Linked DNA regions of Neodiprion lecontei. The protein of the gene in region 1 binds, or shares a complex with, the protein of each later gene. Links are inferred from orthologs where the notes say so. Each region holds a gene or a part of one and is shown on either strand. Other genes may lie near its edges.

What was found.
Region 2: ragulator complex protein LAMTOR5 homolog (region 1) and ragulator complex protein LAMTOR1 share a complex: the UniProt entries of both Homo sapiens proteins name them as parts of the ragulator complex. The link is inferred for Neodiprion lecontei from reciprocal best matches to the Homo sapiens genes LAMTOR5 and LAMTOR1.
Region 3: ragulator complex protein LAMTOR5 homolog (region 1) and ragulator complex protein LAMTOR3-A share a complex: the UniProt entries of both Homo sapiens proteins name them as parts of the ragulator complex. The link is inferred for Neodiprion lecontei from reciprocal best matches to the Homo sapiens genes LAMTOR5 and LAMTOR3.

The regions. Positions count from the first base shown.
Region 1 is NC_060260.1:24,483,624-24,493,800, forward strand, and holds ragulator complex protein LAMTOR5 homolog, read right to left. Parts: upstream 5,193-10,177; 5' UTR 4,848-5,192; coding exon 4,813-4,847; intron 4,447-4,812; coding exon 4,385-4,446; intron 4,274-4,384; coding exon 4,159-4,273; intron 3,950-4,158; coding exon 3,886-3,949; 3' UTR 2,987-3,885; downstream 1-2,986. Other genes in the region: protein RFT1 homolog, read left to right, coding at 125-184, 539-741, 918-1,104, 1,303-1,587, 1,667-1,798, 1,991-2,122, 2,208-2,708, 2,828-2,986. UniProt on the Homo sapiens protein: As part of the Ragulator complex it is involved in amino acid sensing and activation of mTORC1, a signaling complex promoting cell growth in response to growth factors, energy levels, and amino acids.
Region 2 is NC_060263.1:15,851,637-15,862,356, reverse strand, and holds ragulator complex protein LAMTOR1, read right to left. Parts: upstream 6,791-10,720; 5' UTR 6,610-6,790; coding exon of another isoform or gene 6,605-6,609; coding exon 6,554-6,604; intron 5,883-6,553; coding exon 5,806-5,882; intron 5,686-5,805; coding exon 5,596-5,685; intron 5,099-5,595; coding exon 4,900-5,098; intron 4,812-4,899; coding exon 4,722-4,811; 3' UTR 4,020-4,721; downstream 1-4,019. Other genes in the region: protein YIPF1, read left to right, coding at 1,733-1,937, 2,045-2,430, 2,515-2,695, 2,810-2,991. UniProt on the Homo sapiens protein: Key component of the Ragulator complex, a multiprotein complex involved in amino acid sensing and activation of mTORC1, a signaling complex promoting cell growth in response to growth factors, energy levels, and amino acids.
Region 3 is NC_060261.1:12,076,563-12,086,957, forward strand, and holds ragulator complex protein LAMTOR3-A, read right to left. Parts: upstream 6,140-10,395; 5' UTR 5,845-6,139; coding exon 5,836-5,844; intron 5,615-5,835; coding exon 5,381-5,614; intron 4,288-5,380; coding exon 4,150-4,287; 3' UTR 3,747-4,149; downstream 1-3,746. Other genes in the region: glyoxylate reductase/hydroxypyruvate reductase, read left to right, coding at 6-133, 1,045-1,234, 2,161-2,324, 2,410-2,700, 3,398-3,513; phosducin-like protein, read left to right, coding at 6,563-7,190, 7,261-7,493; ATP-dependent RNA helicase SUV3 homolog, mitochondrial, read left to right, coding at 8,562-8,638, 8,775-8,807, 8,890-9,119, 9,801-10,023, 10,124-10,292. UniProt on the Homo sapiens protein: As part of the Ragulator complex it is involved in amino acid sensing and activation of mTORC1, a signaling complex promoting cell growth in response to growth factors, energy levels, and amino acids.

The DNA.
Region 1 (10,177 bases):
TGATTTCATATTTATTTCGAGAACGATGTTATATTCTCGTTTTGTTGCATAACCTATAAACAAAATTCAGGGTTACATGGTATGATCAACAACTGGCAGTAAAAATATAATACGACCTTGTAAAATGGCACCAAACATTTTGAAAAGCAGTTTAGAAAATGCATCGTTCAATATAATATTCCAGGTACGTATGTCATTTCGTTAATCAGATTTACTTACACTGTCATTTCTGAATGCGTATCTGCTGTCACTTCAGTCATGCAACGTGGTTACTTGACGTGAAATCAACATGAAATGTCATGAATTCATGTAAAATCGATATGAAATCACGGAAAATCAATTGAAAATCCCGTGAAATTATTACAGGCGACGAGATCACACTATAAGTCTGAGTGAATAAGCCCTCCCGTCGAGGTGCACTTACTACAGATTGCATTGGAGTTCACACACTTATATTTTTTATATTCAGATGCTTTTTTGTAAACATTAACAGTGGACAAAAATGGTGAGATCTTTAATTTAAATTACATTTTTTCAGATACTATTCCGCTGCGTAACATTTGTTCTAAATGCGTTTGTAGTACGGCATGTAGGCCAAGCAGTGCTTGGAGTAATGAATGTGAGGCTGCTCTTATTGGAATCTATGATCCTTTTCCTCTCTCGTGAACCGTTTATGAAAGCGTGTCTGACGAACACGGCTGAACACAACTGGGCACAAGTGGTTAATTTGCTATGGGTGACGTTAGTTCCCTAATCGTCAATTAATAATTTCAGATTTTAATAACGCAATCATATTGAAAACACAATAGTTGCTTTAATTTCACCTCTTACTCCAATAGTGTGAATAACAGCTTTCTTTATACATGAGAACTAATGGCTATTCAATGTGAGAATAATTCTCAACAATTTATTTCCAGGGTTCCAATATGTGCGCTCATGTCCCTGATCTTTGGATATACATGGTTGTTCATATTATTGCCGTCAGAAGTATTACCGCCTTACTATACATTCGCAGTTTGCGCAGTCGCTGTTTCCTGCATTATTGAACTATCCTCGTTGATTGTTCAATTAGTTGCCAGTGCTTTTCTCTTTGTGAGGCTTAAAGTAAGTTTTTCGACTAAGGACTCTAAGCTTTTCTTATATATTTTTTATGTACTTGCACAATTTGAAAGCCCTGCACCTGAACTTTTCATTATTATTCATTTATTAGGGTGGGCTTTGCCTGTAAACAAGAATCATTTACATAAATTGTTGAAGAGATTTTTTGGTCAGAATATACTTATTTAATTTATGTGATTACAGGTAGTCTTAGATACAATTATGATAATCATTCGGACGTTTACCTTTGTCATACTGATACTTTACCAACCAGAGAATGCATTATTCGCCTTTGGAGTGGCACAGCTTGTTGCAGCCATTTTTTACACTACCAGCCACTATGCTTATTTCCATTTTTACATTACCAAGATAGAAGAATTCAAGGTTCAAGAAAGACCATCTTTAAGAGATGATGTTGATGAGTCTGTGAGCATGGAATTCCCGTTTACATCAATAAAAGACTTTTTACCAGGTCAATTGGTTAATTCGGTAAGATTGTCATCAATATAATTACGAGGAAAACTCAATTATTTAAGTAACTGGTCTTATGTAATTTATAACTTTTTAGGGGTCGTTGTTGGACAAAAAACTATCCATCCTTACGTGGAGTTTTTTTCGACAAGGAGTATTGAAACAAATTTTAACTGAAGGGGAAAGATTGATCATGACCATAATGCCCGTTTTGACATTTGCTGAACAGGTATTTGAAGAAAAAAAATCTATTGTTGACAGATGTTTATTGGACCAGAAATTCATTACCTCGAAGGGTTTGTCCATTAATTACGCAACATTGATTCATTTAATTGAAAATATAAAATGAATCACTATTCGTAGTTTAACAATTCATCAATAAATTGTACTTGATGAATAAAATAATTTTCTTTTACCAAAGGGCACGTATGAAATTGTTAACAATCTGGGTTCCTTAGCAGCAAGATTTATATTCCGTCCAATAGAGGATAGCGGTTACTTCTATTTCACACAGATGGTCAAAAGGGATAAATCGATACCTGATCAAAACGTGGCAAGTAAAACTAATTAGTTACTCACTTCTTTGTTTGCTCAGTACCAAGTCAGAATTTCTGATAATCCTTATCTTTGAATTGCAGGTGAAGGTGCAAGAGAGTGTTAATGTTTTAACACAGCTATGCTCAGTTGTAACATCAATTGGATTGATTGTTCTAGTTTTTGGCCAATCTTATTCCTCACTTTTACTCTGGTTATATGGAGGGCCAAAGTTGACAGCCTATTTACCAGTTTTATTACTGAGATCGCATTGTCTTGCAGTATTACTGTTAGGAATAAATGGAGTTACAGAATGTTATACAAATGCGACAGCAGACAGTAAAACCATTGACCGGAATAATTATATTATGATATATGAGTCTGTAGCATTCCTAGTAGTGTCATATTTTTTTGCATCTTGGTTTGGGCCCGTTGGTTTCATTTTTGGAAACTGCGTTAACATGGCTTTGAGAATTTTGCATTCAACCAAATTTATAAAAAGAAGACACGAAAATACCAAATATAGACCATTATTAGGACTCGTACCTAAACCAATATTCCTTGCATCTTTAATACTAGCAGCTGTTATTACAAAAGTGTCACAGGTAAGAATAACAGTATTAATACTTGATAAAATCTTGAAATCATCAAAAGTTTCTACTGCTGCGAAATGGTAGAGAAATAAACACGGCAAAACTAAATTTATATTTTCCATTCTTTTTAGGCATACTTTTTTCCGAGCGAAAAATTAATCCATCTGTTCATCGGTATCGTAATGTTTGGACTGGTGATGGCTTCCTGGGTTTATGAACATCAAGACCTGGTTCAACTCGGTGTAAACAAATGGCGCGATAGGCGAAACAAACATAAAAAAGATGATTGACCAATGAGTCCTTATTTATTGTTTGTAATATGACTGTATAAAGATTATTTATAATATAGTTACACAAGACAATATGTTAATAGTAAAAATGACAACTGTCCTCATGACTTGGTTCATTAATGTGACATTATTTCCGGACACAATATTTTACATTCAAAGCCATTTGAATTTTTTTTCTCACTTTTATCTCAAACTTAATTTCACAAAAATCGGACGCTTAAAAGTGTGCAATTATACTCTTAAGAATTCCTTATTATTTATTAATAATTGTAATTCAGACAACAAAACAATTTTAATAGAAGGTTATTCTCTCGTGGCAGTGTGAAAACGCGTATACTTGCAGAGTTTTAGTGTGAGAGCCTAAAGCAAAGAAACAAGTGACAAAGCAAATTTGATACGCACCTGGCTTAATCAGGTTTTCTGGTGAAAAACAAAACTCGAGTTAAGCTTGAAGAAAATAGTTCCATTTTCAGAGAATCAAGTCTAATGTTAGAAATAAAAAAATTCCAAGGGCAGACTTAAATTCAAAAGAATAACTAAACTAGTATCACCTTGTACAATTGAGAAGAAGTAATGTTAGGAATGATCAAATCTTGACTTGAAATGCACCCAACTAAATTGGATTATGTATTTCATTACTCTCATTTTGGACATGATTTTACGAGTGTATATAGTCATGGAACTGTGCAAGTGATGATTGATGGAATTTTAGAAGATAAGATTTTGTCTATTATAAACAAAGAATATAATCTTTAATCTGAACAAAATATAGTATTACAGCAAACGTAGAACGAACACTCATTATTGAGCCGTATTTCAAGTAGATATTGTTAAACATAAAGAATCAATTTTAATTCATGTACAAATCCATTGTTAAGTCTCAACGTCGATTTCAGATTTCAGGGTGATATAGCTTTGTAGATAGCACCAACTATAGGCCCCTGACGCTGGATTATGCATTGCCTGAAATCGTTATTGAAGAATTCAAGTTGCACAGCAATTCTGACTTGGAGTTATTCTCAAATTTGCATAAAATAATCATTGTGAATAAAGAATGAGCTCCAATAAAATGATGGGCATTGAACCGAAGTAAACAAATGAGAACACATATTACTTCAGATTTAATTACATATTTCCTTAGTATAAGCAAGTTGAAATGTGCACATACATACCGATTGTCACTTTCTAAAGCAATAATGGGTGCGTTTGATTCAGGCTCTAATTTTGCTACCTCATCAGCAATGGCTGCTATCAACCCAGCGCTTTGCCCAGATGCACTCCCCTTAGCTGAAAATTAAATACATATCTTTTGAGCTTTGACAAGTATGACATTTGGAAATTCATGCAAACATAGAATCAAAAATAGTAAACATTGATTATTAATTAGTTATAGGTTACCTCCTAAGCAGAGGCCTTGACGATCGGCCAAAATGCATCCTATGACTCCTTCGACATTCGTCCTGTAAATATGTCATTATTAAATAACATTCAGAATTTGTACCTACGTCAATTCTGGTATATTTTACCCTTTTCAGTTCTTCATCAAAGGAGAAAAATGAGTTGTGTCAGAATTGATGTTAGTGAAGGTTATGAATGCGGCTACTATTTAACATTATTTATCAAGTCTGAGTATGAAGCCTTCAAGAAAATTGGTTCATACTTTCTAAGCAACAATAAAATTACGTGGGCATTGTTATGAATTTCCAAAGCAGTCAATCAATTGCGTGGAAAAAAAATTCATGAGAAAATTAGCGTATTTTAAATTGTTTGAAATAGGCGCGTCGTAACGTGAAATCTATGAATTTTGTCTTATTTCGATAACTTACACGTTATCCATAGTTTTCTCTAAGTTACGTTCCATTCTGAGGCTCCAACAAAATCGCGGTTCGTAAGTAGTGTGTGAAATTATAAGCAATAAACTGCTATAATCGAAACAAAACTACGAATAGATTTACAGTGACTGGCATAAAACAACTGGTTATTAACCAGTGTGGTTATTTTTCTTTCACGTGAACGCACTCATAGTTCTTCCTTCTTCACGACGACCCGCTGTTGTACGAACTCTTTGATTGTTTATTTTTTTACTTTTGATCTTGATGCATACTTAAATTGATATATTGTATATTGGTCGTTCACTGAAAACACTGAAATTATATATTTATTAATTTGTCAAATGTCCCCTCTTGTCTGACAGCCTGACCGGAAATACCAATTGTAACGTTAAAGTCAAATCAGATGTTATGGTATTTGAAATTGTGGAGAAGTCCCTACTCTTGACTGAAAAATATTAAGACGGGTAAATTAAATGACCCTGGGTAAATTTTTGTGATCAGCTTTTGGCGGGCTAGTGGGCCCAGTGGGCATGAGAGCGTAGGAGGGTTCTGCTCTATCGACTCTATCTAACGGGCTCATACCGACATTCCTAGCAGCCAAAGTAGTGTCTATATGGAAGCTTGGGATTGAGTCGGTGAAATGTGGAAGAAAAGGCGAGGGAAAATGCACCTGCTGAAAAACGTCGAAAACACGGGTTCTCGATTTTTGGCTGTAGCTTTTGATGCGTTGATCGCAGTGTATTGGAACTGCGCCCAATCGGTTTCTCTCGCAAAATCACGTCGATACAGTGCGCCAAAGAATTGGTTCCAGCACTTTTCAAAATCGCAAAAATTTTCGCCAAAGATGGAAAGGGGTGAGCCTTGCTTTTTTTTGAGCAGAAAACTTTTGGTCTCAGATTCGATTTAAATGACCCTTATCCGACCAATTGGACCCTCAGGAACTCAGAAATCGCAGCGAAAAGAGCGTAGGACCAACAGGAGATAAATGGCGAGCGAAAAAGCGCCTGCTGAAAAACGTCGAAAACACAGGTCCTCGTTTTTTGGCTGTAACTTTTGATGCGTTGATCGCAGTGTATTGGAACTGCGCCCAATCGATTTCTCTCGCAAAATCACGTCGATAGAGTGCGCCAAAGAATTAGTTCCAGCACTTTCAAAATCGCAAAAATTTTCGCCAAAAACACAAAGGGGTTAGCCTTACTTTTTTTTTGGGCAAAAAACTTTCGGTCTCGGATTCGATTTAAATGACCCTTATCTGACCAATCGGACCCTCAGGAACTCAGAAATCGCAGCGAAGAGAGCGTAGGACAAACAGAAGAGAAATGGCAAGCGAAAAAGCACCTGCTGGAAAATGTCGAAAATTCAGGTTCGGGTTTTTTGGCTGTAACTTTTGATGCGTTGATCGCAGCGTATTGGGACTGCGTCCAATCGATTTCTCTCGCAAAATTACGTCCGATCAGTGCTACAATTAATTGATTCCAGCACTTTTCAAAATCGCGAAAATTTTCGCCAAAAACACAAAGGGGTTAGCCTTACTTTTTTTTTGGGCAAAAAACTTTCGGTCTCAGATTCGATTTAAATGACCCTTATCTGACCAATCGGACCCTCAGGAACTCAGAAATCGCAGCGAAGAGAGCGTAGGACCAACAGGAGAGAAATGTCGAGCGAAAAAGCACCTGCTGGAAAATGTCGAAAATTCAGGTTCCGGTTTTTTGGCTGTAACTTTTGATGCGTTGATCGCAGCGTATTGGGACTGCGTCCAATCGATTTCTCTCGCAAAATTGCGTCCGGTCAGTGCTACAATTAATTGATTCCAGCACTCTTCAAAATCGCGAAAATTTTCGCCAAAAACACAAAGGGGTTAGCCTTACTTTTTTTTTGGGCAAAAAACTTTTGGTCTCAGATTCGATTTAAATGACCCTTATCCGACCAATTGGACCCTCAGGAACTCAGAAATCGCAGCGAAAAGAGCGTAGGACCAACAGGAGATAAATGGCGAGCGAAAAAGCGCCTGCTGAAAAACGTCGAAAACACAGGTCCTCGTTTTTTGGCTGTAACTTTTGATGCGTTGATCGCAGTGTATTGGAACTGCGCCCAATCGATTTCTCTCGCAAAATCACGTCGATAGAGTGCGCCAAAGAATTAGTTCCAGCACTTTCAAAATCGCAAAAATTTTCGCCAAAAACACAAAGAGGTTAGCCTTACTTTTTTTTTGGGCAAAAAACTTTCGGTCTCGGATTCGATTTAAATGACCCTTATCTGACCAATCGGACCCTCAGGAACTCAGAAATCGCAGCGAAGAGAGCGTAGGACAAACAGAAGAGAAATGGCAAGCGACAAAGCACCTGCTGGAAAATGTCGAAAATTCAGGTTCCGGTTTTTTGGCTGTAACTTTTGATGCGTTGATCGCAGCGTATTGGGACTGCGTCCAATCGATTTCTCTCGCAAAATTGCGTCCGGTCAGTGCTACAATTAATTGATTCCAGCACTCTTCAAAATCGCGAAAATTTTCGCCAAAAACACAAAGGGGTTAGCCTTACTTTTTTTTTGGGCAAAAAACTTTCGGTCTCAGATTCGATTTATATGACCCTTATCTGACCAATCGGACCTTCAGGAACTCAGAAATCGCAGCGAAAAGAGCGTTGGACCAACAGGAGAGAAATGGCGAGCGAAAAAGCGCCTGCTGAAAAATGTCGAAAACACAGGTCCTTGTTTTTTGGCTGTAACTTTTGATGCGTTGATCGCAGCGTATTGGGACTGCGTCCAATCGATTTCTCTCGCAAAATTGCGTCCGGTCAGTGCTACAATTAATTGATTCCAGCACTCTTCAAAATCGCGAAAATTTTCGCCAAAAACACAAAGGGGTTAGCCTTACTTTTTTTTTGGGCAAAAAACTTTCGGTCTCAGATTCGATTTATATGACCCTTATCTGACCAATCGGACCTTCAGGAACTCAGGAATCGCAGCGAAAAGAGCGTTGGACCAACAGGAGAGAAATGGCGAGCGAAAAAGCGCCTGCTGAAAAATGTCGAAAACACAGGTCCTTGTTTTTTGGCTGTAACTTTTGATGCGTTGATCGCAGCGTATTGGGACTGCGTCCAGTCGATTTCTCTCGCAAAATTACGTCCGATCAGTGCTACAATTGTTTGATTCCAGCACTCTTCAAAATCGCGAAAATTTCCGCCAAAACACAAAGGGGTTAGCCTTACTTTTTTTTTGGGCAAAAAACTTTTGGTCTCAGATTCAATTTAAATGACACTTATCCGACCAATTGGACCCTCAGGAACTCAGAAATCGCAGCGAAGAGAGCGTAGGACCAACAGGAGAGAAATGTCGAGCGAAAAAGCACCTGCTGGATAATGTCGAAAATTCAGGTTCCGGTTTTTTGGCTGTAACTTTTGATGCGTCGATCGCAGCGTATTGGGACTGCGTCCAATCGATTTCTCCCGCAAAATTACGTCCGATCAGTGCTACAATTAATTGATTCCAGCACTCTTCAAAATCGCGAAAATTTTCGCCAAAAACACAAAGGGGTTAGCCTTACTTTTTTTTTGGGCAAAAAACTTTCGGTCTCGGATTCGATTTAAATGACCCTTATCTGACCAATCGGACCCTCAGGAACTCAGAAATCGCAGCGAAGAGAGCGTAGGACCAACAGGAGAGAAATGGCAAGCGAAAAAGCACCTGCTGGAAAATGTCGAAAATTCAGGTTCCGGTTTTTTGGCTGTAACTTTTGATGCGTTGATCGCAGCGTATTGGGACTGCGTCCAATCGATTTCTCTCGCAAAATTGCGTCCGGTCAGTGCTACAATTAATTGATTCCAGCACTCTTCAAAATCGCGAAAATTTTCGCCAAAAACACAAAGGGGTTAGCCTTACTTTTTTTTTGGGCAAAAAACTTTTGGTCTCAGATTCGATTTAAATGACCCTTATCCGACCAATTGGACCCTCAGGAACTCAGAAATCGCAGCGAAAAGAGCGTAGGACCAACAGGAGATAAATGGCGAGCGAAAAAGCGCCTGCTGAAAAACGTCGAAAACACAGGTCCTCGTTTTTTGGCTGTAACTTTTGATGCGTCGATCGCAGCGTATTGGGACTGCGTCCAATCGATTTCTCCCGCAAAATTACGTCCGATCAGTGCTACAATTAATTGATTCCAGCACTCTTCAAAATCGCGAAAATTTTCGCCAAAAACACAAAGGGGTTAGCCTTACTTTTTTTTTGGGCAAAAAACTTTCGGTCTCGGATTCGATTTAAATGACCCTTATCTGACCAATCGGACCCTCAGGAACTCAGAAATCGCAGCGAAGAGAGCGTAGGACCAACAGGAGAGAAATGGCAAGCGAAAAAGCACCTGCTGGAAAATGTCGAAAATTCAGGTTCCGGTTTTTTGGCTGTAACTTTTGATGCGTCGATCGCAGCGTATTGGGACTGCGTCCAATCGATTTTTCCCGCAAACTTACGTCCGATCAGTGCTACAATTAATTGATTCCAGCACTCTTCAAAATCGCGAAAATTTTCGCCAAAAACACAAAGGGGTTAGCCTTACTTTTTTTTTGGGCAAAAAACTTTCGGTCTCGGATTCGATTCAAATGACCCTTATCTGACCAATCGGACCCTCAGGAACTCAGAAATCGCAGCGAAGAGAGCGTAGGACCAACAGGAGAGAAATGGCAAGCGAAAAAGCACCTGCTGGAAAATGTCGAAAATTCAGGTTCCGGTTTTTTGGCTGTAACTTTTGATGCGTTGATCGCAGCGTATTGGGACTGCGTCCAATCGATTTCTCTCGCAAAATTGCGTCCGGTCAGTGCTACAATTAATTGATTCCAGCACTCTTCAATATCGCGAAAATTTTCGCCAAAAACACAAAGGGGTTAGCCTTACTTTTTTTTTGGGCAAAAAACTTTCGGTCTCAGATTCGATTTATATGACCCTTATCTGACCAATCGGACCTTCAGGAACTCAGAAATCGCAGCGAAAAGAGCGTTGGACCAACAGGAGAGAAATGGCGAGCGAAAAAGCGCCTGCTGAAAAATGTCGAAAACACAGGTCCTTGTTTTTTGGCTGTAACTTTTGATGCGTTGATCGCAGCGTATTGGGACTGCGTCCAATCGATTTCTCTCGCAAAATTGCGTCCGGTCAGCGCTACAATTAATTGATTCCAGCACTCTTCAAAATCGCGAAAATTTTCGCCAAAAACACAAAGGGGTTAGCCTTACTTTTTTTTTGGGCAAAAAACTTTCGGTCTCAGATTCGATTTATATGACCCTTATCTGACCAATCGGACCTTCAGGAACTCAGAAATCGCAGCGAAAAGAGCGTTGGACCAACAGGAGAGAAATGGCGAGCGAAAAAGCGCCTG
Region 2 (10,720 bases), on another chromosome or scaffold:
TTAGTTCTTTAGCTATTACTATATTGTAGGTTTTTACGTATGGTATATCGCTGCTTGGTGCGGTGGTGTAGGTGCGTGGACTTGGTTCCGTAGTTCTCCGAACTGCGTGAGCTTTTCGTTGTGTCGCCAGCCCCCTTTGTGGCGCCAGCCCCCTTTGTGGCGCCAGCCCCCTTTCTGGCGCGCCTCAGCCACTTAACTACCTGTCTGCCTCTTAATGTTTTTGCTATCTTGCTCGTTACAAAGCCCATATTTCATTTTGGTTACCTTGTCGTTTGTTAGTTTTATAGTTATATCTATATAGAATTGTATATGTATTATAGTCGACTACTGTCGTTGTTAGTTTTATAGTTGTATCTATATAGAATTGCATATGTATTAAAGTCGACTACTGTCGTTGTTAACCTGGAGTGCAATAGCAATTGTTTATGAACATAGTTTGTTATTTGTTTAACATTATTAGAATCACGCTGCTGCGAATATCTTTAGTTGTTTGTGTTATAACTATCTTAACAGATTTAGGGTACTTAGTAATTTGATGATTCATAGCTTTAGAGCAGGTTTACATGTGTGCTTTTGTATATGATTCCCTTCTGTGGTTGTTAATTCTTATATTGATATAAATCGGCTTGGAAGCTTCTAGAACGTTTTCGTTTCGTCGGTAAGTTTCCTAATGTATTCTCTAGGTAAGGCCCTGTATGGCTCCACATTGGAGATCTGCATTGCCTTCAAAACGTTGCGCGTGTTGCCTACAATACGGCGTTGCGGAAGAAGGTATAGTTCATGCTGGGTAATTAGCATTCACGGTTTGATGGTTTTGCAGCCTCTGGTTTTATGGGTTGCAGCAGTGCTATCTTTACATTATATTGGTTATGCATTTATCTATGGTTTTACAGTCTTCTATACTCCAGGCTATATAGTAAAGCGTATGTTGCTTATAGTATAGCTCTCAGCTCCGAATGCCTAAATGGCATTGTTGAGTGCTATATAATAGTTGGGTATAATTGTGTTAGTTAATTATAGTGTTAATATGATAGTGATATATAATAACGCATAATAGTATTATAGTTCTCTGTAGTACGAAGATCTCGTAACATGGTTTTTAAGCCTCGGCTAGTGAATTTCATAGTTATTTCCATCTAGGGATATTCCAAATAGTTAGACAGTTGTTTTAATTTCTTATGGTTACAAGATTCTCGTACTTCGAGTTTGGTTAGTTGATAAAAGTAACATGCAGTAATAATAATCGATAAAACATACGGACGTTCCGGTCGGACGTTACACCTTGTTCAAAATAATACCTGTGGTTGGCGATATTTGGCAATTTTTCCGCATGTCAGTAAACATCTTGGAGCACATAACACTGGTGGTAGCCAAAGAGAATTCTACCACGCGTGCACAGAAAGTGTGGCGGAGTGAGAGAGGAGTAGATATACTCATTACAACCTGTCTCTCTTGCCCTACATCTGGTTGGCCGACACGCTTCTTCTCAGCCAATCATATGCAGAGAGAGAGGGACAGGCTGTAACGAGTATATCTTCTCTCTCTTATCATTTTGGCTGCAGTTTTTGCGAGGCTGACGGCACGGGTGGCTACCTCCAGTAGTATATGCTCTAAGGTAAACAGAGATTTGTTCACGGGGATTGGAGAAATAGTAGTAAAATAAGGTGCAACGTGTACGGGTTGTCAAAATCGAACTTGAAAGTAGAACGAAAGTGCAGTAAACGATTCAAAGATGATGAACGGGGACGGCGACAAATCGTCGGATTCCCAATTTATATCTTTTCAAGATTACTCACCAATAAATCGTTCCGCTGGTGGTGGACAGGCTCAGCTGGATGTTGATACACCCGACAATCAGGGCTTCGTCGGAATCCAGAATGACAGTACGGGAATCGGAATGATCGAGGACCTACAAGGAATGCCGAACAAAAATGACCGTCTGTATTCACAGTTTTTCTTTTATTTTCTTTGCTGCAAAACTAGGTTAACCTACTTTAAAATTTTTCTTGTCTCGAGAGAATAAACACAATTTCCAATTCCGCAGAAGAACTGCAGCACAATTTCTGGAGCATCGAATACTACCAGAAATTCTTCAATGTCGACACTGACGACGTTGTGCAAAGGATAATCAGGTCCATAATACCGCGAGGGGGCGAGAATTATCTCGAATCCCACATCCGGCCAAAGCCTGATCTTTACGGCCCGTTCTGGGTCTGTGTCACATTGATATTTGCCATAGCGATTAGTGGGAATATGGCTAATTACCTTCAGACAGCAAATTCGCAGGGATTTCACTGGCGGTACGATTTCCATATAGTTTCTTATGCCGCTACCGCCATTTTTATGTACGCCTGGCTGTTACCCCTTGCACTTTGGGGCGCTCTGAAATGGTCTACCAGCAAGCGAGAAGATGACAACGAATTAATCGAGGTGAATTTCAGAAAAGTGAAATCATTCGCAAAACAATTGAACATCAACTCACTTCTTGAAAACTAACATTTTCCTTTGCTGTAGTCGAATACTGCTCCTGGGATCCTGGAACTCCTGTGCCTCTATGGATACTCCCTGAGCATTTACATACCCGTCGCCTTTCTATGGACTATACAGATTGGTTGGCTACAATGGACACTTGTCGCAATTGCTGCATTCATGTCTGGTGGAGTGTTGTTGCGCTCTTTGTCACGAGTTATAGCTGGTAAAAGATAAGCTATGGATTACATTAAGAACAATATTTGAGAAATGAATTACTGTTCTGTGCTGTAGTCAATCGTAGATGTGGAATTTTAAAGTTTATTTTGTTCGTTTTCAGGTAAGCACAAAGCTATTTATGCCATAGCAATCCTAGGAATGCATTTCTTACTTGCTGCTGGTTTCAAGATGTACTTTTTCCACAATCCACGATCTACTCCTAGTGCCAGCCAAATTATCGAAGTTGTAACAACAGTTGCGTCAGTTGTTAAAGCAGTGAATAACAGTTCGTCACCAACTTAGACTAGCTTTAAACTATACTTAATTCAATTGTCAATTACACACAAGATTGTATGATAAACGTCTCATTGAGTACATCGATGAAGCTAATTTCAAAAAAAAAAAAAAAAAATTGATTGCCCTTATATTACATATTAATACCATGTCAAGTAATTATTCGCTGTTCAATTTAAATAAGTGGTATTGATAAATAAATCAGCTACTAATATTGTATATGTATATTCCTGATTAGTTGTATATATATGATAGTAATATATAAACGTGTTTGGACAAAAAATCGAATGTCAGTAGTTGGGTGGTTAAAAGAAAGTTATTTTTTCCCGCTCGTACCTGCTCAAATGTTAGTTTATGATATAAAAAAACCCTCCCAAAAGATGAGATACCGAAGTCAAATCTCAACAGGTCGCTATATTAATTTTTATTTCCCATTTACTTAACATGGGAAAATTACACTCTTCGTTAAAAGTTATAATACTCGTAAACTATTCGATATTTTTTAAATTCATGTATAGATCGTTGCAGCTGATTTTACGAGCTTTTCAAACCGCTATAACATATCATAGTCATCATCATTAGAATTCACATTACAGTCATCTGAAAACTACCAATTTTTACCGCAAAGAGAATCACCTTCAAGATTCTATCTATGCATGGATTTCAAAAATATTGAATAGTTTACGAATATTTTAATTTTTAACGAAAAGTGAAATTTTCTCATGTTGAATGAAAGGGAAATTAAAATTAAAGTAGTGACCTGTTAGACTGAGCTCAAGAGCTAATCTTTCGAGATCTTTTTTTCTATCAAACACCAACATTAGAAGGGGGTAAAAGCGAATAAAATTTTATTTTTTTCAACCACCCTAGTGAGTAGTCGTCTTGTTATCCTCTTCTGATAACTTCTCATATTTATTTATTTATTTATTTATTTATTTATGTTAACGCAACTGCAAGCGAATTCTTTATATCTATAGGTAGTTTGACGCTACCCTAAAACCTCGAACTATTGTTAATGAACAAAGATACCATTTGTATTACAAATGAAACATATTTTTTATTACATCATATTCACATGAAAAGCCTTTTTTTAACGCCATGGGTATTCAACATTTTGTATTTGTCATTCAACAAAATACATTGTCCAATCAAGCCTGCGCTAGCGTCTCACTGTTCCCGTCAGCCGATTTGTACAATATGATAAGCATAATATGCAACCTTGTCATCCACAAAAAGTGGGATTTTTAAACATAGTTCAAAAGAATTTCATAACGCTGGTTTATTAACACGTCCGAGTAATACTTTAAAACGTTACGAGAGAAAACCGTTATTTACAATCATTTAAAACTACGGTTTTCATAGAATCGATTCGCGAGTGATTACACGATAAACAATATTTAGCAATGCAACGGTGATACACTAAAAAAAATGAAAAAAAAAAAGTTAGAACCAGTTAATAATAAAAATTGGGGGATATATCTAGTATCGAGAGTTTCTGACAAGCATAGAATAGCATGACCTAAATTAATATATGTTTCCATTGCTGCTAAGTATAAAGCTCAAAATTGAATTGCAATAAAGATTTTGTGGCGAACAAGTAGAGTATCTATACCTTTGATCTGTAACAAGAATTAAATGTCTTAACGAGTAGAAAATTTGATTTTCTTCTTACAGCTGTTATAAATGTCATTAGACATATTAAAATTTTAGGCTCAAGCTTCCATCTGATTGAAATGCAGTCACGACAGGAAGGGTACGACTAAATCTTCTTTATGTTCCACCTGTATCTCGCTCAACGCGGTTACCGCACTGTTCATCATATCTGTAACCTGTGAAAATATTTAGATAAGCAATGAAATCATAGAAATTTCACTACTTCATCATTTCTATTTCATATTAGTGGAAGTTATTATTTACCATTTCTCGATCCTGTTGGGGCAGCCCTTCCCCAGCCAATACTCTTTCGGGCGCTGGTATATCTTTTAATAGACATGGCGGATGGTCAGGTATTTGAACACCGATAACTTCTATTCTTTTGGCATATGCTTTTGACCTATCCATGTATTCGTGCTGTTCCAAATTGTGCGAGTCGAGAGCACCGACATCGATCACATTGCTGATAAAGGAGATGAAAATTAGAGGTGGCAAAATCGAGCCGAATTTTTTATTGAATGTAACTTTGTCAAATGATTCTTATAACATTTGTCTGTTATTTTTACTGCTTCAAACAAGTTACAGAGAATTAAATTAACGGTCAGCAAAGTATTTACAAAATAGGTATAATTTAGAAAATTATTAAACCTCGAGTTGAAAAGTTGATGGAGAAGCCAATTCCGAGGCTCAATCTGTAGAAGCTAGGCTACCATGCTATGTTAGTATAAAACAGAACTTGAAATGCACAAAGAAAAACAGAAATCGTGAAATTCTAAAGCATTACTCAAAGGTATAGTAAGCTTGTCCTAGAGACAATTTAAATATAAACTTGGTACTAAGCCAACGTGCAGCAGCAGCATGCATTCGATGCAGAGAACTAAGAAGGTATAGCTCAAGTTTCGTAAACAGCAAAATAAATAGGATACAAATTCAAAAAAAAAATAAATAAAAAATACTCACGCGGCAGTTTCCTGCAAGATTCGGTTCAGTGCGCTTTGTTCATCAGTCTTCTTTGGGACAGGGTTCGCATATGGATTAACATAATCGTCACTGGAAAGTAATAAAATAAGAAGCAAAAAAGCATTTGATATTATATAAGTGACAGTCACTATAATAAAAAGAATGGAACACAAATACTTTTTACGCATGCTTTAAAGTCTGATCAATCACCTGTGAGCTGTTGGGATATTTGGTGTATTGCTGACCGGATTTACCAGCAAACGTGTTCTCTCGTTAGCTGCGTCACCCTGAAAATACAAGTCAGTCGAATTAAGATACAGGTTAGGAACTTAGAAGTAATTAGTCTACTCAGTCTTAATCTACTGTTGTGAGAGAAATGTTGGTGAAAGCATTTCAAGTCAATTAATGAGTTTCAATAAATGATAATTATTACAGCAGTATCAGTAGATCAAAGTTATCTGGGTAGGTTATCGCGAAATAAGGTAAATAAAAATACCACAGGGGGGCAGAAATAATGGTAAACTCGCCAGATATTGTAGTTAATAATAATGATGACATCGCACTTGGAAATCGTTCGTGTGTCCGTGGCTTTACTTGTTACTATAATTTTTATATTTTTCATCTCCTAGATGATGTGCGTCATTGTAGATATGCAAAAATGGAATGTTAAATGGTTATTTTTTCGCCGAACGAGAAGTGGCATCAAATTAACATTTCAGAGCTGTCAAAGTCGTTTATGTCAATGGAAAAATACAGCGTATAAATAAAAATACAATCGTGGCGACGAAATGCCTACACAAAATTTGTACCTTTACGATTGATGATGATCGAGACTAGTTTGATAAGTGTCTTTACTGAAACTCACGTATCAATTCTAAAGTAGTAGACGTGAGAATGATGAGCAAAGGAGAAGAAATAAACTCAAAATAAAAGGCAAGGATTAGTCCAAGTACTTTACATCTGACATACCTGCGGCCCATTGTCTTCTTTGCAAAGGCTTGGGCAACATCCCATAGTGACTGTTGTTTCAACCACTTTATGTAAATAATAAGTCTAAACTGTGTCAAGTATATTTTTTATGACTTCGTATAATTATATGAACAAATATTCTATCATTGTTGTGCAACAACACGTAACCAATTACGCATTTGTCAGTAACTTCAATGTTTTTATAATCGTTCAGATTGCCGACGTCGTCGTACCGATGACCAGTTTCGCCCCCACTAAAACCTGGTAATACAAAATAGTCTAGACCAGTACCTCGAAAAGTAATCTGTGATCGTTTGTGTTTGATAGGTTTCTCTCTGTAGTGAGTACCCGAGGTTTGGGCCGTGTTCGAAAATTGACTGACAGTACTGTCAGCAATCTTTCATCTCTTTTGCGCTTCCAAGTTCGTAAATAGCTCCGACTCTGTCCTAGGGAATTTTCAGTACCGTCAGTCAATTTACGAACACGGCCTTGATAGGGTATGTTCATATCAGTGGTATGTTCCGATATACACTGCGAGCACTGTTCAGTGCTCTTACTGGGGAGAAATTCTAGGAAATCCTAGGGAAATATATGACGTCATAAATCGTTGCCATTTTTCTACTGTGAACACTGGTGCTTTCGAGGTAAGGTGCTCTCAGTGCTTTGATCACGTGATCAACAGCGTTCAGAAATTTAACAGCTTCCACTATTGATAATTATTATTATTGAATATTGTCATTTAAAAATATCGGCCGTTAAAAACAAAAATGGAAAATTTGAATAAATTGTGTTTATTACAATGTGAAACAAATATTATGTATGAAATGAAAGTAACGCCAAAAAATGTTGATCACAGTATACTGTACTGCGTTCCGTTTTAAGCACGTTTTAAGCAGTAACCAGTATAGCTAACTATACAGGAACGGCTTCGCAGTATACTAAATTGACGACACACCTTACAGTGCTCGCAGTGTATATCGAAACATACCCATAGTTAATAATTACGTTGTTATTATTAGAACAACACCGGCTAGGGAGTTCAGTGACATTAACCCCTCACAGTTGTATTTTGGGATTTATTTGAATTTTGCTTGTGCAGAATCGTTTGTTCGTCGTATGTTGGTGTTTATTAGCGTTTCTCCAACATTCAATAGTCCTCCAATTACCTGAAAAAATTGAAAAACATAGCCCTCCCCTAAGCCAGTCAAAAAAAATAAAATAAATAAGACGACTCTAGTTAGGCACCAATTCCGGGAGTTTGTTCAATCCCAGAACGTCTAACTTACGACAACTCCTCGTTAACTGTAAATTGCATTGAAATGCAATTACCCATGCTGGCAATCGTTTGTTGATCGTTTGGTGGTGTTGGATAGTGAAGTTTCGACATCTGATAGTGGATCGTTGATTCGTGAAAATTGAAACAATTGTAGTTAGGCAGTAGTCCCAGACGTTAATCTAGCCCTAGCGCATATAACCAAAAGCTGCTTCTCATTTATATGTATGTACTGATGTTTATTGATCATTTTTAGATGTTTCATAGGGAACGTTGACTGAGGATATGTAAAGACTGATAACGAGTTATTTTTCGTAACAGTTTGCTGAGTTTGACCGGGTTTGGAGGTATAGTAGTTTCACGTATTATCAACCAAGCAACTAACAACGCACGTAAGAGAAGTTCTTGAAAACAAACAACTATCACGTGCAAAACGTTGATAACATACAGTCGTCATCGTGAGATTGAAAAGTTGAGAAAATCCCGTACAAGAAATATATACGCCGAAATTACATAACGGAAAAATAAATATCAATCAAATACATGTTCGTGTATTGTTTATATTTACATGAATATATCAAATCTTTTACAGGCGATATTAGCATTTCTAAGACGCTCAATTTATTTTTTCAAAGTTTTTTACGTAGTCAACTTTGAGCGGCAAATATTTTGAAAAAATGTTGAAATACTTTATTTTTAGTTCCAATCATTTCAAGAAAGTGCTTATGCAGACTTTTTGTTTGCTTTGTTGAGCACTTTTAAAATTATGACTTGAAAAAATTCGATATCTCAAGTTTTGAAAATATCCGAAAAATTCTGAAACACTTTTCTTTTTGCGAGAAGCACGTTGATGATATGTAGAAGGATGAACCTATTTTATAAATTTTTCCCAAAATTTGGAATCAGTCATTGGGTTTTAATTAAGAAAAATTACGCAAGTTCTTGGGAATAAATACAATAAGCATGAATAATGAAAATGAATCTATCACGAGGTTCGTTGCAATTTAACTGGAACGAAAAATAGAAGACTTTTGCATTTATTTTAAATTTTGATAAATTGTTAAAATTGTCTTTCAGTAATACGACTTTTTAAAAATGTGACGAAAAGCAGCTAAAAAATGTATTTTATCTTCTGTATAATATTGACGTACTTATCAAACCATACTTTTCTTCTTAAGGGCGTTGCCTAGCTAGAAAGCACGGGCTACTCCGCTTCCCGCGTTAACCGTGCGAGAGAGAGAGAGTAAAGAAACAAGTGAGACGGAGCACCCGAGCTGTCGCTGGAGTGGGGCGGGTGTGGGCGGGTGACGCGGCTAGCCTCCACCACCCCTCACGGGCATTCGGTTTCAAATACTTTTAAACAGCCCAGTGTGCCGCGCTCGGCACGACGCAGCACCTGATGAATAATAGAAAAAAAAATAGACTCCTTTCAGATTCCACTTGAAAAATTTACTAGTAATACAGAATTTAATAAGGAACCCGAAACTATTTTTCTTATAATTCAAAAACTTTTCATTAATGAGGTAAAAATCGTCAAACATTTGAATTGTTTATGAAAATTGGGATATTCAATAATGTTCAACATTACATTTTTTTTATGAAAGCTTATTCGTTCACCTTCCGAATGCACTGTAAATGATGTCTCCACGTTGAATAGAACCAGATATATGCGCGCTCCTTTTGCATCAAAATTGAATGATTGTCTGGTAACTTTCCAAAACAAACATAATTCGGACGAACACCAAAATGCGTATCGATTCTTTTTACCTTTATTTCATGTGAAAAAGAGTATGAATAGATTGAAAAAATACGAGGTCATTTTTTGATTGACGTGACGTAGAATTCCCCATACGTATGTTGATATAGATATACATTCTTAATATTTCAACGAAAATTATATTCACCGGCGTCCGTATTTCTACGCAATGCGATCACGTGATTGGTAATAGTCTAATAGCCGGTATTCATAGTCAGGTTCGATTTGCAGGACTGTCTTGAGTCAGCTCAAAGCATAGCTTGATCGGCTGAGAGCTGTTCCTAATACAGTTTCGAAAATAATACGTAACTATTTATGAATAGCGGCCATACGTCGTCACAGGTCGTTTCAAATTGAAAATTGCGACGAATGGCTGTTAGCAAATTCATGATATAACAACGAAAATATCATCAATCTCCTAGGTCGCACCACGTATAGATTGCTATCAAACAGAGACCCACCTAACCTGTCCCTACCTCCCAACCATGATCGGGTTTGCACCAAACAAATACAAAATGATAAAAAATAATATAAAATGATAAAAGTGAAATCAAACTCGTTTAAACTTAATAAACATAATCACGAAATCTGTATGAAAAGGATCTCATAGAAATTAAATTGAAACAGTATAAGTGAAACATGACAGTAATCTTGATCGAGAAAATTGATATCATAACAAGGCATCGAGCATTGTATACATTATATGGCTAAATAAATTCTATAGAAAGCGCAAACTATGGAAAGTAGTACGTCATTGTTGCAAAAATTAATTATTAGTTATCATCTATTTAAAGTAAAATGTACGCTTCCTTTTTTGTAGAGCATTCAATTTCCTACAAAAATCCGTCTTTAGATTTTTTTTACGACGCTTCGTTAGCTAGTTATAAAACCTAGAAGAAGCAAACAACATTTATCCTATGTTATTCTTATGGAAAATCGAAAAGTGCTATGCGCCACCCCTTAATATGTATTAATATTAAAATCTTAAATTTCAACTAGTGTCTTTGTATACCTGAATGAAACTTTTGAACCTGTTTCGAAAGGAAAAAAAAATTCATTTTTTTTTCTGAATCACCCTATACACGCAGTTCGGTCAGACTGCAGAAAGTATTCCTGGAATGAATAAT
Region 3 (10,395 bases), on another chromosome or scaffold:
TTCAGATTTGATTTGACAATTCTACCAAGCCCAGTTAGTACACGCGAACAAGTACTTCAAGCACTTCCGGGCCATGACGCTATTTATCTCGCCAGCCATCATGTCGTGAACAAAGAATTACTGGATGTTGCAGGTAAATGTTGAATGAGAGCAATAATTTTTTTCGCTTGCACCTAAAAAAGTTTTACGTATTGAAAAATTCGGAGGAGACAATGTGTCTTGAATCCAGTTATAAAATATCGCTCTCGGTATTTGAACTCTTCCCAGACTTGATCCTGAAAGCATTTTGCAGTGACTTCAATTCACTACAGACGTGTCCGTTGAACGAAATTCGTAGCTCAAACAGTTTACAAATTATAGGCCTCGAAAATCAATTTTATTTAGAATATTTATAGGGAACTAAATTCTGTATAAAAATATACTTGGAGCAAAGTTCGTGTTTCAGTGGTTCACAAGTTATAATTCTTGATAATGAATTTGATGTAAAACATTTATCTTTAAAGATCTTTAGTGGCCAAAGTAATGACGTTATAACGAAAATTTCGTATCAATAAATACGGCTGACTGGTAACAATTTTAAATATCGATTCCGAGAGCATATTTTAAAATTGGATTTAAGAGTTAGTCTTCCTTGAGGATTTTTGTTTGTTACTAAATATAATAAGTTATTCAGGTGGAAGCGAAAAAACATGTTGCTTCAAAACGATATAATTTTGTCTTATAGGTAACATATATTACGTATTTTCGGCTTCATACAAACTTTTCCGGCCGACTCGGCCTCCGTTATATACGTTATCTGATCTTATCGTGAAATCAAATTTCGTTGAAGCAATAAAAATCTATTGCTCCGATTAGATATTATATGGATTATGCAACCAGTCTGTAATATGCTTTTTCATAATTTCTTAATTAAAGCGACTATAGATTATGCGAACTGACATGACTATATTTACCAATCAACAAAATGGATTTCTTCCACGGGCATGAAATTATCTTACCTCTTTGATTGATTGATATTGAAACTCAGGTTTTCATTTTCTTCAGGACCAAGGTTGAAAGTGGTGTCAACAGCATCTGCTGGATACGATCATTTGGACGTGCCTGAAATAAAACGGCGGGGTTTAAAAGTAGGTAACACTCCCCATGTTCTAACTGCTGCTGTTGCTGAGGTCGCTGTAATGTTGACGTTGAGCGCGGCCAGGCGAGCTTACGAGGGCCGTATCAAAATCATCGAGTAAATAATTCAACGTTTTGTTATATTACAATTTTAGCTTATGTATTTCATAACAAAGAATTTTTAAAATATGCATAGCTGCAAATACAATTACTTACATAGGTATGCACCTTAGGGTGGTCCTTAAAAAGGACATTTTGAATTTGTAATGCCTCGTCCCCCAAATCGGACCAAATAATTCCCTAACATTTACAGATTTTCATCTGAACTCTAATCCGTGCCGCAAAAACGGTTGATTTTCCGATTTAATCCTTTTCAAGGGAACAATAAATCTGCCAAACAGATTTCGATAAAATTTGATATAACACGTTCCTCTTGGGTCGTTGATTACGAATCTAAACTCGAAATTTCCAAATTTAAAATGGCGGATCCAATATGGCAATATCATTTTTCTTTTGGGATGTTTGTCCGCCATGTTGATTTGCCTATTTCGACATTTGAAATTTCGAGTTAAAATTCGTAATCAGCGACCCGAGGAACCCCCCTACATCAAATTTCATCGAAATCCATTTGGCAGATTTACTGTTCCCTTGAAAAGGGTTAATCGAAGAAATCAACCTTCCGGCGGCACGGGTTGGAGTTGAGATAAGAAGCTGAAAAAATGAGAGAATTATTTTTGAATTATTTGCATCCGATTTAGGGGATGGAACAGTCGAACAATCGAAATTCAAAAATGACCTTTCTTAAGACCACCCTAAAATATCTGAGATCTTGTGAAGTTAATTTAACTTTAAGAGGGGCTGATTCTTATAATTATGCTAATTCAATGCGAAAGGGTGGTAGGAATTGCAGATGATGCATTGTTAGTATAAGCTGCAAGAAAATTCTAATTCATTGGGTGTATCATAATTATATTATTACTATTGTTTATCTTTCATTTTCAAGGTACTAGAACGAAATATTTTAATATTGGTTAATTTTTTCAGAAACAAGTGGGAGTCACGGCCGCAATGGATGTTGGGCCGTGATTTACGCGGTTCAACTGTAGGTATAGTAGGCTTGGGTAACATTGGACAAGCAATTGTGAAGCGACTGAAGCCATTCGAAGTGGGCCGATTCATTTATTCGGGCCACTCGAGAAAACAAGCCGGTAAATAAATTATTAATGAATATTACCTATGATATGAATAAACGTTCGGATCGAAATACACATGCAACGTTTCATATAATTGCAGGTGACGATCTTGGAGCTACGTTTGTATCGTTTGCTGATCTCCTCAAGGAAAGTGATTTCGTGATAGTTGCCACGCCGTTGAACAATGAAACTACGAATATGTTCAATGACAACACTTTTGCCCAGATGAAAAATACGGCGATACTGGTGAACGTAGGACGCGGACCTGTCGTCAATACAGATGCCCTCGTCAAAGCACTTCGAAATCATACAATTTTTGCTGCTGGATTGGATGTTATGAATCCAGAGCCACTCCCCAGTGACCATCCACTTTTAAGCCTGCCGAACGCAGGTCAGTATTTGAGCGATTTTTTACGTCGGGACCTCTCCTGGCAATAAAATATGTCCAGAAGGTTTCACATATTTGTACGAATTTACCCAGAATGGTTAATTTCTAACAGATCCTTACTTGTTTCTAAAAATCCTAAACCGGACCTAGTAATTTCTAGGAAAAGAAATAATTTTTTGCAAATATCGTATAGAAAAACATTGATGATTTAATATTTTTGAAAAATTTAGACAGTTCAATCTATTTTAAAATCCTTTTCAACTGTTTCATTTTTAATTTCTCTCAAAAATTCGTCTGTTTTTTGCATAACGCGATACGCCAGAGATACGATTTTTTTCAGGATTGTGACACATAGTGGAGTTCTGAGAAAACATGAGTTATCCATAGAAATTGGTCCGATTTTCACCTCTTAAAAATCAGTCGAGTTGATCATGCACAACGAGAAAGTAAAAAAATCGGAGTTTTATATTTGAGTTTTGGTAGAAAATGAAATTCCGCGTAAAGAATTTAGAAATTTTTTTTTAAAACTCTAGAATTTCTTGAATTTCCTCAAACATTATCAGGACAATTCAAACCTTTGCTAATTATGATTTGCCTGTTATTTTTTTATCAATGTCTTTGGGAATACAAGATGAAGAAAAACAAATGCAGAAACAAATTAATCACCCGAAGCCCACTTACGTTTTATTGAACTTTTTAGTTATAATCCCGCATTTGGGCAGTGCAACGGTGAAAACCCGCTCAGACATGGCTACAACAGCGGCGCAGAACGTGATCAACGGCTTGGAAGGAAAACCACTCGTCTATGAATTATAGTGGCAAACAGGCTTTCAATAAAGTTTGCACCAACTGTGTAACCTGTTGCCTGATATATGTATCAAATATTTTCAAAGCAACTGAAATTTTACGGGGCTTTAATTTTTTATACATGTCTTCAAGATTCGTATTTCCACTTTACGTCATATTCAAGAATATATACCTAGCAATTATTATGTTTTATAGTATATTTCATATGAAGGTGTCAAGTCTGGGAATTTTTTTACCCAGGATATAAGCACATTGACATTCCAGTAACTTGTTTGTAGGTGTGTTATATCTCACGTTAATTCATACAGATGTGACTCCGTGATCAATGTCTATTTTTATTTTATGAATGCGAAGTTATTTAGGAATACGAAAATATAAAGTGTGCGTATGACACGTGTTCACGAAATAATCAATTCAATTCTCCAATAATACATATACAGTATATATCATTTTTTGTTTTGTATGTATATTACATAATTATATAAGATTTATAGAATTAATTTACAACGATTTAAATCGTAATATTTAACCTTTGTTTTGCTAAAATTTGGTTCAATGTGTTTTACACATTCAATTACACAGTCGTCGTGACGTTTTAATTCCACGATTTCTTCAATTAGTTTATTAGTGCATCACAGGTGTCCATCAGGCTTCGGCAACAACGTTTTTAAGATTTTGTAAAATTGGATCAATTTTACTCTCTAGTGACAAGATGTGCCCGGTATCACAAATGTTGTTTGCAATAAAGCTTACGACCAATGGTAGCTTATTCATTTGAACAACCTGTTGAACATATCATTGATCACACATAAATCCATGTATTTACACACTTATAACTGTTTCTGACAACATGGTAAATAATTGTAACTAGAGGTAAAAATTTACAAGAAATTTGCACAATAATTAATTAATTTTATAATTATATAATATAGTTGAAATACAATAAATGCTAGTTCCCTTTAATGTGTATGGAGCATTATTTTTCAAATCTGATAAGGTTTTGATAATTTTTTAGTTTCAAAATTTTTTATAAATTCAGTTTTACCTCTTGACAGAAGTGCTGATGATTTTTTTGAAGCTGCATTCTCAATTTGTTTTCTAATATAGAATTTTTGAAACATTTTCCATCTAAATTTTGCAAATGAATGAAATTTAAAAACTAAATGAGATGTTTAAAAAAGGTAAAACATATCTTTTTTCCTCTTGAGTGATGGATTCATTGATAAAATATTTCATAATTATATCTCATAATTTCGTTGTACCATTTTCCTTATAGTTCCGTTCTACTTTTTCGCATAAAGCCAATTATGATTATGGGTCGATGAATTGTTGTATTTCTACTATCTATTCAGAAGAGACTTTTTTAAAAATCAATTTCTTGTCAGGTGAAAGAAAGATTGATTTCATCAAGTTTGTAATCAATCGGACGCTACTATAGGAATACGTGTTCATACGGAAAAGATTTTTTTCTTATGAATGTGGAAGAAATTGTTTTTATAACTTTCATTCAAACGACTAAAACATCGTAATATAAATTTCTCACCAAATGAAAAAATGAATTTTAATTAGGAAAATTTGACGTTACATTAAAAAAATTAATAATTTAAGAACAAATTGAGATGAAAAGATCAAACTAAATCATCAACAAGCCTTGTAATAGGTAATATGAGATTTCAAAAAATGAAGCGTACCGAAAATTCGACCTTAAAATCTTGTCAAATTTGAAAAATAATATGCCATATAGAACTAGTTTCATATCATTATATGTTTAAACAATGTACTCTTCAGAAAAGGTTGCATGTAAAAGTGGAATAACTGAACTCCAAACAGCCTTCCAGAATTACGGTGCTCTTATTATCAATGGTTCATAACTTACTTGATAACTGCTGTATATGCTAATAATGGTTTTATTCTTTCCTAGATCTAATTTGCTCCCTTGATCAGTGGCCATTCCGAATGTAGAAAGGAAGCTTGCCCGCATTGCTAATTCTGGGGCTTTTTCATCTGACACTGATATGACAGGAACACCATCACGATCCGTGATCAAAATACTGTGTAAGCCATCAACGCTGTTCAATAGCTGATATAAAAATTTCTTCAATTCCTGAAACTGAATCACAAATTGATTTGTGTATGCTAGAAAAATACAGATCGCGAATATACATGTCTATATTGCTTCGAATTTTTGAGCTGACTTCTATTGCAATTCCAATAAAGAGTGAGTTCTATTTTGAAAAACATAACCTCGATTATAGTTACTTTCACTTGGCTTCGAAACGCTAGCTAACGGTCACATATGATTACAGCATAAACTTCAAAAAACAAACTCACCACGTTCATTTTCGAATGCAGAACCTGTATTCAGTTTTCAGTATTTTTATTGCATTCCAAATTTTTATTGAATTTGAACAAAGAATACTCCGTTCTGTGACTAAGAGTTGACACTTCACACAGCCGCGTCAGCCACGGGGCGCCGATATATTTCTATTTATGGTTTGACAGGGTTACAATCCTACCCTACCGATCGAGTTATTTTTGTCCTACCCGCATTTAGCTGTGAATTTAAAAGGTAGTGTACGTCAAAGAGAATTATCTTTGGTGTACGTAAAAATACTGTATTATAAGTGATATGACATGTTATTCACTCCTTGTTACCAAACTTATACAAGCGAACTGTAAGCGCGCGCATTGCTTAACATGCCTAAAACAGAGACAGAGCCAGTCATACTCAAGAAGTGCAAAAGAGATAAAAAGATTGCTACCGGGGCCGGGAGCTGATTTTGATACGCACCCGCAGTAAGCTAAAGTGTGTGGCGTATCAACCTCAGAGAATTACTCTATGGCGTCAACTTGGTGTAAAGCGTCGTTCACGCAGTCAACAATTATAATAAATAATTGGTTTTCGATAAAACAGCGAGAATGAAGAGCAGAGCATTGATGTTCATGGACTGAGATTGGGTGATAAAATTATTATTCCGTTGAATATAATATTAATAATTCCGCTCTTCGTGTATTAAATAGAGGTACAACAGAAAGCTCTAGCCCAAAAGAGAACGGAATGGCAACACTTGAGGATAAAATTTTGGGTGAAAAATTACAATATTACTGCAGTAGTTCAAGTGAAGACGAGGGGCAAGACTCAGCGGATTCTGAAGATGAACAAAAGTCGCAGAAACCGTGCGACGCGACAGCGTCAAGGTCTGAGCAACTGCCTGAGTGTGCAAAGTGGGACGGAACTTCAAGCAACACAGGGCCGAAAGGGGTCTTAGGCGACTGGCAGCGGTTTAAACAAATAGAGGCAGAGAAGAAAGTCGAACAGGAGAAGGAGAGGATCGAGCTGCTGAAGAAGTTGAGTTTGACTTGCAGGAGTGCTCTTGACGAGGAAAAAGATAATCTTGAGGAAACCGATCCAGAGTTGGCAGATTTGATGAACGACGAATTTTTACTCAATTATCAGAAGCAAAAAATGATGGAAATGCTCACTCGGGCTGAAAAATTAAGATTTGGCCGGTTATTCAACTTGGTAACTGCTGATCAATTTCTGGAGGCCATCGACAACGAACATGAATCTGTTACCATCGTTATTCATATTTATGAACCTGACATAGAAGGATGTGAGACTATGAATGGCTGTTTACTTTCACTGGCCATCGAATATCCCAGCGTTAAATTTTGCAAAATTCAAGGTGAGATGGTGAAAGAATTCCAAACTTCTATAAAAGAACATTGCAGTTGCTAATGCTGAATTATTTTTAGGCTCCGCCGCAGGCTTAAGTAGGCACTTCAAAAAGGAGGGAGTTCCAGCACTGCTTGTTTATAAAAACAAACAAGTCATAGGTAATTTTGTTCGTGTCACAGATCACCTTGGAGTTGACTTTTATTCCTCTGATGTTGAACATTTTTTAATCGAGCATGGAATGATAAGTGACAGAAACTGTATTCCATCAATTGTTTCTACTAAGAGAAATGCAGATTCTGACAGCGACTAGAAAAATGAACGAAATAGAGACTGGAGATTATATGTGGTAAAAATGTATTTAATATTTATAGTAACTATACTTATATGAACTATGTAACAATAAACCTGAAGCTCCTGTATATTTTATCTATGCTGTTCGTAAGTATGACGATTGGTTTTCTCGTCATTTACATAGAGTGAATTATCTGTAAATGAATGGTTCTTTGATCCAATGGCATTGACTGAAAAGTTGGTAAAGATGTTGCATAGATTTGGTTTTCTGAAAACTAAACTTTTCCAATCATAACATAACTAGTAATAAATTGCTCTTTTTGCAACCAACTGATTTGCATAAATTTTGCCATTGAAATTATACGTGTATCAGTAATGCAAAAATTTTAATTGACACGAAAGAATACAAAATCGGACTCTCGTGAATAGCGGAAAATTAGGCAACGCAATGAACCCAATGAATAAAAAAGGTGGAAGATGTTCTTGGGAATTTTCAGTGTTGACAAGCATTGGTTGGCAGCAGGTTTTGCAACTCGCATTGAGAAGGGTTTTAGAAAGCTTTGGAACGCACAACTCATTTCAAACTGTCTAAAGTCCCAACGCACACCTTTGGATAAATCCAAAATTAGGCTCGAGACTATCGCGAAAATGTTTCTAGACGCACAGTTAGTAGATTGAGTTACCAAATACCGATTAAGCATTGAAATGCATTGGACAATTCATTCAATCACTTGTTTCAGATAAACCAGGGAAGAGTCATAATTTAAGAATAAATTAACTAATTGTACGGCATTCTCAACTTTTGTAAATGCTTACTGTTGCGCCACGGAGTAATGGCGCTTTTCATTGGCTACACTTGCGGATGCGCACTGATTACGGTTCTTCTAGTATCTCGTTTCAACTATTGGTTGAAAACAGTGGAATCTCACTCAGTGCGCGCACCGGCAGTCGGCACGCTCGATTGTAATTTTTTGATCCGCAGGTCTTTCCGAAACATAACCTATTGCACGATGAACGTTATTTGATATTTAAAGATAATCTGATTTCACTCTGGTTTGGATGTTGTGAAATTAATAAATATATAAAAATGATACCGACAACCCGACGTATATCGGAATCCCTACTTCGAAGAAGTGGGATCCTGTGCACCACTTTACAAGACAGGTAGAGTATAATATCTCTATTATATACTTTTATATTGTAATAAGGTAATCGACACACATTATTCATATTTATTCACTTATTATAACCTATGGTCAATTTTGTATTCCTATATCCTACAAATATTTTATTGTAACAGGTGTAAGTGTGAGGTGAGTTTAATCAACAACAGGTAAAGTTTTATAAAAATTATTGAATGTAATAATTTTATGAATTGATTTCTAATACATTACGCGTTATTTTTTATTTTTCAGATATCTTAGAATTGGAGCTTATTTAGCACAACCTTTGCGGGGAAAAAAAGATGACTCGACTACAATCACATCTTTGTTCAAACCAGTTCCCGTCAAGTCGAACCCAGATGATATTAACGTGGGAGTTGAACTTAGTGGGGCTCTCAACAAAGCTGACCTCCTGAAAGTGCTCAATCAATTCTATCAAAGAAAAGAGATCAAGGTGCTCGCCATGGAACACGGATTGGACAGTGAGTACTTAAGGTGCTTCAACTCGTTATTTCAGTTTTCTCAACTTCCCGCTTTGGTATTTTTATAGAAAAAGGAAAGTTTTTATAATTACCCTGAAAATGAAAAGTTGTGTTTTCACTATATTTCTACTATTTAAGGCCTGGAGAATCTTCTCTGATCACTTTCAGGTGGACATCTCGATTTGAGTGTATGATCGTTTTTTGGTGGCAATTACTGAAAGATTAGATTTTATTATTTTGGCCTTAATTGATTCAGTTTTGCTTGACTCAGAACTGACTAGAATTTGAACTTAATTCTTGTGGTATCTCAAAAACGTCTAGATGCAGATGAAACTTGCTTCATGGGTTTAGCTTTATTAATATAAAGCTGATTAGATTTTTACTAAAATCAGTTGAGCCTTTAAAGTTATTTTCAAAATTATAAATCATGTAGTCTGAAATTTTTATCTTCATCGATAGTGGGAGTAGCTGGAAGTTCTGAGATTGATCCTCTCAAGTTGAGTAGATTTCCCTGCTTGTTTCCACCCGTTTTATCGCTGTAAATTACATTCAATAAACATTGTCCTACAAAAGCCAATGTAAATGCTTCTGTTGGTTGTTTCCTCCCTACTTTTGGTTCATTGCTCTTAGTTTTTCTGCATTATTTTGGAGACTGCACACACAAATATGAACGTCTTGCAGGTTACTTACAACATCAAACCTTCATCAGTTTTCGACGCTACTGCTTAGATGCTGAAACCTTGCCGGCAGACTTGCATGTTGTAATAAGCGACATAATGCAAGGAGCCGGGCATGTCGATGACATATTTCCGTACTTTATGCGTCATGCGAAACAGACTTTTCCCCATATTGAATGTATGGATGATCTCAAGAAAATAAGCGATCTACGCACACCTGCTAACTGGTATGAATAAAACAGTGGAAATATTTGCTTCTGTATTTTGAATAGAGCTTCATATTTATAACCAGAAATATGCGCAAATTAAATAACTATCATTTTGCAGGTACCCGTTAGCGAGAGCTAAGACAAGAAAAATTATATTTCATGCTGGACCAACGAATAGTGGTAAAACTTACCACGCGCTACAGAGGTTCATGACTGCAAAAAGTGGATTATATTGTGGGCCGCTGAAGTTGTTGGCTGCAGAAGTGTTCAATAAAAGCAACACTAACGTGAGGATTCAGTAATTCATTAGAACTGTTTTTGAAAATCTTGCAAATGTTCTTCATTGTTTTGAACGTTATCGCAATACTCTGTTTATCCTGCATCTTTTTC